2 linked regions of the Macaca fascicularis genome follow. The protein of the gene in region 2 purifies or fractionates together with the protein of the main gene of each other region. This does not show direct contact. Links are inferred from orthologs where the notes say so. Each region holds a gene or a part of one and is shown on either strand. Other genes may lie near its edges.

Evidence for each region.
Region 1: the proteins of AKAP9 (region 2) and CDK5RAP2 purify together in Homo sapiens (affinity purification with western blotting; 4 studies listed by BioGRID and IntAct, with this or other methods). This does not show direct contact. The link is inferred for Macaca fascicularis from reciprocal best matches to the Homo sapiens genes AKAP9 and CDK5RAP2.

Annotation. Positions count from the first base shown.
Region 1 is NC_088389.1:37,582,602-37,586,421, reverse strand, and holds part of CDK5RAP2 (CDK5 regulatory subunit-associated protein 2), read right to left. Parts: intron 3,413-3,820; coding exon 3,291-3,412; intron 2,171-3,290; coding exon 1,934-2,170; intron 1-1,933. UniProt on the Homo sapiens protein: Potential regulator of CDK5 activity via its interaction with CDK5R1. Negative regulator of centriole disengagement (licensing) which maintains centriole engagement and cohesion. Involved in regulation of mitotic spindle orientation.
Region 2 is NC_088377.1:129,245,130-129,248,949, forward strand, and holds part of AKAP9 (A-kinase anchor protein 9), read right to left. Parts: intron 3,488-3,820; coding exon 3,402-3,487; intron 1,863-3,401; coding exon 1,733-1,862; intron 832-1,732; coding exon 692-831; exon of another isoform or gene 1-691. UniProt on the Homo sapiens protein: Scaffolding protein that assembles several protein kinases and phosphatases on the centrosome and Golgi apparatus. Required to maintain the integrity of the Golgi apparatus. Required for microtubule nucleation at the cis-side of the Golgi apparatus.

The sequences.
Region 1 (3,820 bases), on a different chromosome or scaffold from region 2:
GTGGGCTGCTGCACTCCAGCACCACCCAAGGGTCTGCTACAGTTCCTAAGGCCAAGGAGCCAGGAGGTCAGCTCCATAGAGCTGGCCCTGAGAGGAATCACTCTCAGCGAAAGACATCAGCCTTTAGAACATAATTTTAAAAACAGATGCACTTAAATACAGACCTGAGAAGTCTTTTGCAAAGGAAGAAATGCTGCTGCCTACAATTCTGATCTTGACTCAAGAAAATTAGAAAACTTTTCTGCTGAGGCAACACCGTGAATTCTGAATGCTCTCCTGGATGCCTCTTGCCACACATGCTGAGGGCTGCTTTCGGCAAATTTCAAAGGCAAAGGCTGTTTGATGGCCTCCTCGCTTCAGCTACCCAACGCTCCTTCCTGGGCACCCCAAGCACAGAACTCTTCTCCTTGCTTCAATCTCCCCTAGCCCACCCCCACAAGCTCCTCAAAGCCTTAAAAAGGGCCAGGTGCAGACCCATGTTAAAAATATTAATGCCCGATGCTGATGAGGTCACGCAAAAACCACTACCTTTGTACACTTCTGATGGACAGACCATTTAGAAGGTAGAAATATGGCACCTTTCTAAACTTCTGAGATTCCCCTGGTCGGGTTTTCTCCTAAGAATATTGTTTAACAGCAAAAAGTATATTAACATTGATGTCTATTATGGCTCTAAATCAGAGACCACTTTAATAATCAACGGGGTCATGGACTGGTGACTAAGAATAGCCTGCAAACAATCATTAGGAAGCCCATGTGAAAGCAGAGGGAACATGTATGATGCAATATTGGACAAAAACAAAGAAAGGACACAGAATGACACAAAAACCAATTTGAAAAATATAAATTCATGCCGATATTTAATAAATGAAAAGAAATATGCAAATTTTAAAAAATGATCAATGTGTAGAATCATCAACTTTTTTTCTCTGTTCACTTTTTTCATATTATTACATCATCTTTTTGGTTAAATTTTAAGATCCTTGTCAATGAGAAATCAATGAACTAATCACTACAAGTTCTAAGGCAGACTGACTAGGTACTCCTTAAGAGATTTATTTTTATTTTTTTAACTAGAGGTATCCAAGTAAAAGTAAGTGCAAACTTTAGTACAATACTGCTTTTAAAGCATGCTGGCATTCCTCATCCCACTGGATACACATATTTACCCCATGGGTGTCAGGAAGATAATCCCAGGATACCCAAGGCTCCAGAGGGTCCAGTGGGTTTAGGAACAGCCCTAGAGTCAAAGCTGGAAATGGTTTCTAGTTCCAGCTCTGCTGCCTAATTGCTATGCCACTTTGGGCAAGCCCCATCCACTCTCTGGGCCTTTGTTTTTCATCTCTAGAGCAAAGAGGACAGGCTGCCTGACTGATTGGAGTCTAACCATTTACTGGTTTGCTCCACACCCTGTGGTGGGCAGGTGGCAGAGGTGTCTGCTCCTCTTTCTGGTACCCCCCCACAGCCTCTCTCCAGGGCTAGGCAATTAACCTGCAAGCAAATGCAAAACAGATCCACTTTTTAAACCTATCAGGATGATTTTCAGATCCTGAAAGACACTGAAAGCCAGATTAAGATGTTTGGGTTCCCTTCTAAAGGCAGTAAGAGAAACTAAAAGAAATTTCAGCATGGAAGTGATGCAGGCAGGAATAAATGGATAGGAGGGAGCAAGGCCAGAGGCATTGAGGGTGTCTGGAAGTCCAAATTCCACTTCCCTGAGAATCAAGATGCCTCAGATGGAGATTACGCCACTTTGCCAAAGGTGACGTCTAATTAATTAGCAGTCAGGTCCCCTGGCTCCCAGGGTACAGCGTGTCAGCTATCAACGGAAAGACACCTGTGTGGGGCAAAGGCATCATTCAGAAGTTCACACGTCACACACAGATGCTCAGAGCTGCATTCTCAGCCAAGTGGGGAGAGGCAGGGGCAGTACCGTGTTTGTCAGGCTGAAGGGGCACCTCAGGGATGGACAGGGCTTGGATGGCCAGAGTGAGGGCTCCTTCCTGTGCCTTCTCTGCCCCCCTTGCCAGCTGTTCCTCGAGGCTACTCTGCAGAGTGCTGCTGGTTTCAATGCTCCTTTCCAGTTGCAACCGCAGAGCCTGGATCTCCATCAGGAGGCTGTGCAGGTCCCTGAAAGGATCCTGCCCCTTCCAGCCTTCTCCCGACGCCTCTGCAGACATGTGCAAAGAGAAGCCCTGACATCTTCTACAACCAAAGGGTCAGCCATTGAAGGAACTCAATCGCGTTTTACACCCGCCACCACCATCGCCCTCCCTCTTCCTAAGAACTAGGTACAGTTTAAAATAACAACTTGACTTTAGAAACAAAAATATTGGCAGACTTAATTGCTGCTATTCCACAAGCTAAATAAGAGCTGGAAATTAATTTTCGCTTCTGGCCATAAAAGCCTAGCAAATTGCATACCAAACCCCGAAATTATGTCTAGTAGTAATAAAATCTATTTGGGCTAGAATTATAGAATGAAAGGGGATGATTTTAAGAGCCACAGTATATTAAAAAGACACAACAGCAAGAATAAGAAAAGCAAGTTGAGAAGAAAATAAAAGCTGTGAGATGACCCCTTTCTAGATCAACTTTCAATAGAGAGAAACCATCTGGAAAATTAGTTTAAAAAAAAAAAAAAACAAAAAAACACCTCACCACACCTCAAAATTGATTCTGAAACATTAGACCTTATAGTTGAAGCACTCTGAGCTGGTATCTCTCTTGGGATACAGAGAGCACTGAGGCCAACAACTATCCCCAGAGCAATGCCCAGCACATGAGAGGTGTCCATAAATGTTTGCTGAATTAATGGGCAAAAAGTAACACACACTAGCAGGACGATAATAAAAGTCATTTCCCGAGTGCTTACTATGTGTCAGGTATCATGCTAGGATGCTTTTAATAAATGGTCTCATTCAATTTTCAACACAATTCTCCACACAACAGGTGCTGAGAGACATGTTTTACAGAGGCATGTATGGGCTGGGCTCAAAGGGTGAAGTGGCCTGCTGAGGGTCAAATAGCTGGGAACAAGGGAGTGGGAACCCGGACCGTGGCTGGCCTGGGTGCTGAGCCTCAGTCCTTCTATGTTTCCTGCTGTTCCTTCAAAAGAAGAGTGGGTCAAAGCGCTAGCTTCAACACCCATCCATTCTACCCACGAGGCCAGAGAGGAGAGGGCTGAGCTCTACCCTCCTGCGCCTACAGCCGGCGGTCGGGTGGGCTTACAGCCCAAAGCACAGTAGCCTCAAGGTGAGAAGGGCCTCGGACCAGAGCCCCCCCGGTACCTCTCAGTCTCCTGTGCTCTTCATCCAGCTTCTCATACGCCTTCAGCTCCACTCGGAGGGACTGCAATAGCTTGTCATTCTGTGAGAGCAGCTGCTGCCTCAACTTCACCTCCTCCTGCACCCTAAGAAGGCCCCACAGGCATGAGAAGCACAGGTTAGTTCTACCATAGGGTAACTTATTCGAACCCCACAGAGCAGGCCAATTCCACTCTCAGTCACAAGAGTGTGGACCAAGCAGTGACAAGCCTGGTTAAGAATTCCAGTCACAGCTGCAATTTCCAAGTGCTCCCCGTGTCCAGCCCCGTACATACGTGATCTCATGTAATCTTCACAGATGCCCTAAACGGTTGGTGCTCTCTAACCCTCAGTTCAGAGATATGAGGAAACGAAACTCAAAAGGGCTGTTTCCTACCCAGGCATGCACAGCTCGGGAGGGGAGCCAGACTTAGACCCAGGACTACTTGGCAGCAAAGACGAAGATCTTGCTACCTCACTGCACCACCCTTGGTGATGACGGTAACTGAAAGAGT
Region 2 (3,820 bases):
GTCTTTGAATCAGGAGTGAACTGAAGTGAGAAAGGGAAAAGAGGTTTTCCTTCCATGAACAGGGAATCCACCTTTATTTTAAAGTATGAATTGCTTTTTGTTTTTGAACAAAGAAAAATAAAAGAATCCTTATGAAGTATTTTAAAATGGGATAATTTTTTTGGATGATACATAAAGGCACAATATAGTAGCAGGGAAAATGGTTACATTAAGTGCTTAAAGCAAGTGCTTCCTCCTTAACTCCACCCGATTTGTATGCCTTACCACTTTTTTTTTTCTTTGAGACAGGGTCTCACTTTGCTGCCCACGCTGGAGTGCTGTGGCACGGCCTTACCACTTTCTGCCACGCACTACTTAGGAATACGTTCTCCAGTAAGGCTCTGTAGACTCAGAGTACCTTGCACATTGGTGCTCATTGTGCATTTGTGTCATCAGTCCGCTGAATGAAGATAGTAGGAAATCATTTTTGGGAGGAGTGAGATCTGGGGTGATAAATCATATTTTCACTTAAATTATTTAAAGTCAGTTTCTCTGCTGGTTACAAGAGTTTAAGCTTTGGCTAACTTAATAGCTCATGCACTAAACTGGAAGCTTTGATTATCCTAATGATGAGTGTGAAAGAATTTCAAAAAAAGGGGAGCTGTGGGTCTAGCACTGTGGTGCTGCCAAGATGTGGTTAAACTTAGAGCACCTGACTGTATAGTTCCAAGTCGTCTTTGCAGTGCCTCCAGCCGAGTGATATAATCTGTTAGGGCTCTGTCAGGATCGTAATTCTGAAGCTGAGAACATGCTAAAGAACCAGGAATGAAATCAGCTGGAGTGCCTGGGTACCTAAAGGATTAAAAATATGTACATGAATCAAGTTATCCAGAAATATGCATACAAGTTACCAACCTGCCTCTACTCCCTTCCCCAAAAAGGTGGGTCACTTGTACACACATAATGTATATCCCCTAAGCTTCAGCTTTGGAGTTTGGGATGAGAAAGAGACGACTCTTCAATAAATTCAAAGATGCTACTAAGTCAACATAAGAATGTCCAATACAATGCTTGTGGCAGAGGTCTCAATAAATTGGGTATGTATAAATGCATCTTGTCATGAAGATTGTTAAGCTTTTCATAATGGTCAGAGACTATCAATTTTAATCAATACTTTTACCAATATCTAATCACAGCATATACTAAATAACACTTGGTCAGCTTTGTTTGCTATACCCTTGGAAATCAGTTACAAATTTAAACACTGGTGTTTACATTTTTACATTGAGCCTTAGATTATGTGCATTATTATTATTATTTTTTTGGAAACCAAGTCTTGCTTTTTGCCCAGGCTAGAGTGCAGTGGTGCAATCTCAGCTCACTGCAACCTTTGCCTCTTGAGTTCAAGCGATTCTCCTGCCTCAGCCTCCCCAGTAGCTGGGATAACAAGCACCCACCACCATGCCCGGCTAATTTTTTTGTATTTTAAGTAGAGACAGGGTTTCACCATGTTGGCCAGGCTGGTCTCAAACCAGCTGGTCTTGAACTCCTGACCTCATGATCTGCCCACCTCAGCCTCCCAAAGTGCTGGGATTATAGATGTGAGCCACCATGCCTGGTCAGATTATGTAAATTACATATAACAAAGATGTCTGTCTCAATGCAAAGAAGTCAAAGCCCTAAAAATGTCCATTTTTCTCTGTTAAATATGAATACATTTAACAATTCCAGGCAGGTTTTCTCAAATTCTTACCTATTCTGAAATGGTAAAGGGGACCTAATATAGTCCAGATCTGATCTTGAGCGATACGTTGTGTGTCTTGGTTCTCCATATAGCTCCAGCCCACCAGAAGAATGAAAAAATGAGTCAGTCTTTTCTGCACCTAAAGTAACCCAAAATATTCCTTGTAAAGAAAAATAAAACCCAAGCCCTTAAAAAATTTCTACAAAATAGATAACTGCTCAAAAGACTATTATACTATATTATACCATCTCCTATTTATAGTCATTTCTTACTATTCTTGCTAAAGGAGAAACAGTGCAAACAAAAATTTGGCTTTCAAATGTTATTTTGTTTACTTTTGAATATGAGTATTTCTGATACCTGGAATTATGTCTCAAAGAAAATTATTTAATTGGCATACTTTCTTTTTTAAAGACCTTAGCTCTAAGTAGATGAGAGGTGAGGGGTGTCTGAGTATGTGTGGTTTGTGGGAAATGATGTGGATAAAAAATATTAGACTATGTAAACATTCCATTCTATTGACTTAAAATCAAGATTTGCTAACTTTTAATAAAACACAACTTATTATGGTACAAATTTCAGCTGTTTCAGTGTAATGATATTTCAAAATACTTTGTGTAGGGTACCAAAGCTATTTCCCCTCTCTCGGATGCTCAGCTCCTGGTAGAGGATGTGAAGGTGGTTTACTGTGAATACACAGCACAGGGATGCTGTGTCCTCTGTACCTCTGTGTGCTCCCCAGATTTGGACCTCATCTTTATTGCCAGAAATGTTCAAGCCCTAGTTTGTTTCCACTTCTAGGTGTAGAGAGAAGGAATTTTAGCTGTTACCATTATTATACAACCTCTTGGTAAACTCAGAAACCTGTTTGAATATTGTTAAATTATGAAAACTTCATAATTATTCCATATGACTAACAGCAATCCTGTCTTGAACCAGTGCCTTAAATGCAGTTATGAAGAGTATGGGCTCTGGAGCCAGACTGCCAGTGTTTGGTCCTGATTCCATCACTTCCCTACTGGCCATTCTGGGGCAAATGACATGTGTTTTCCATGCCTCGGTTTTTCATCTAAAAGTGAGAATAGTAACAACTGTATTTCTATCACAGGATTGGGAGAATACATGAAAAGAGCACAGCCCGGTGCAGACTAAGTTCTCCATGAAAATCAGCTATTATTATCCTCTTTAAAAAACAGTGAAGTTACCTAGTTTTGGCAGTTATAAGGGCTTTGTCTTTGGAAAACATTGTTTCCAGAATTCATTATTTGGTAAGTATTACACATGCAGTAATTCAGAGCAGCAGTCCCTAACCTTTTTGGCACCAGGGACGCATTTCATGGAAGACAATTTTTCCATGGACCCAGAGGGGCCGGAATGGTTTCTGGATGAAACTGTTCCACCCCAGATCATCAGGCATTAGTTAGATTCTCATAAGGAACACACAACCTAGATTCCTCACATGTGCAGTTCACAATAAGGTCTGTGCTCCTGTGAGAATCTAATGCCACGGCTGATCTGCCAGGAGGTGGAGCTCGGGCAGTAGTCCCCGCCACTCACCTGCTGCTGTGCGGCCTGGTTCCTAACAGGCCACAGACAAGTATGGGTCCATAGCCTGGGGGTGGGGGACCTCTGATTTAGAGAGTCATAAACATAAGAAAATATGCTATTTTGACTTCACCTTGATTCAGTCCAAAGCCATCTCTGTTAATATTGATGGAACCAGAACCTGTGACTCGATGCCACCGTCGAACCAAAAATTTCATTCTAAAAAAGATTCCAAGATAAAATTTCACAGCACATCTATAATGTAAACAGTATGTATACTTCCTACAAAAATCACATCATACATTTAAATATGAACATAGAACATATGTCAAATTTCACGATTGCCCAATTAAACTATGTCAATGCCCATTGTGACAAAATCAACTGGAACAGAGGAATAGGGATTCAAGATCCCCTTATCCCCTTCCCAAGAGGCATTACAGGTCTCTTATACTGTCAGCATCAGGTTCTGGCTTGAGGGATAAATGGGGTACAAGGAGATGGAAGGCAAAAGTAGATGGGAAAAGTAGGCAAAGAAAGGGTGAGAAGTAA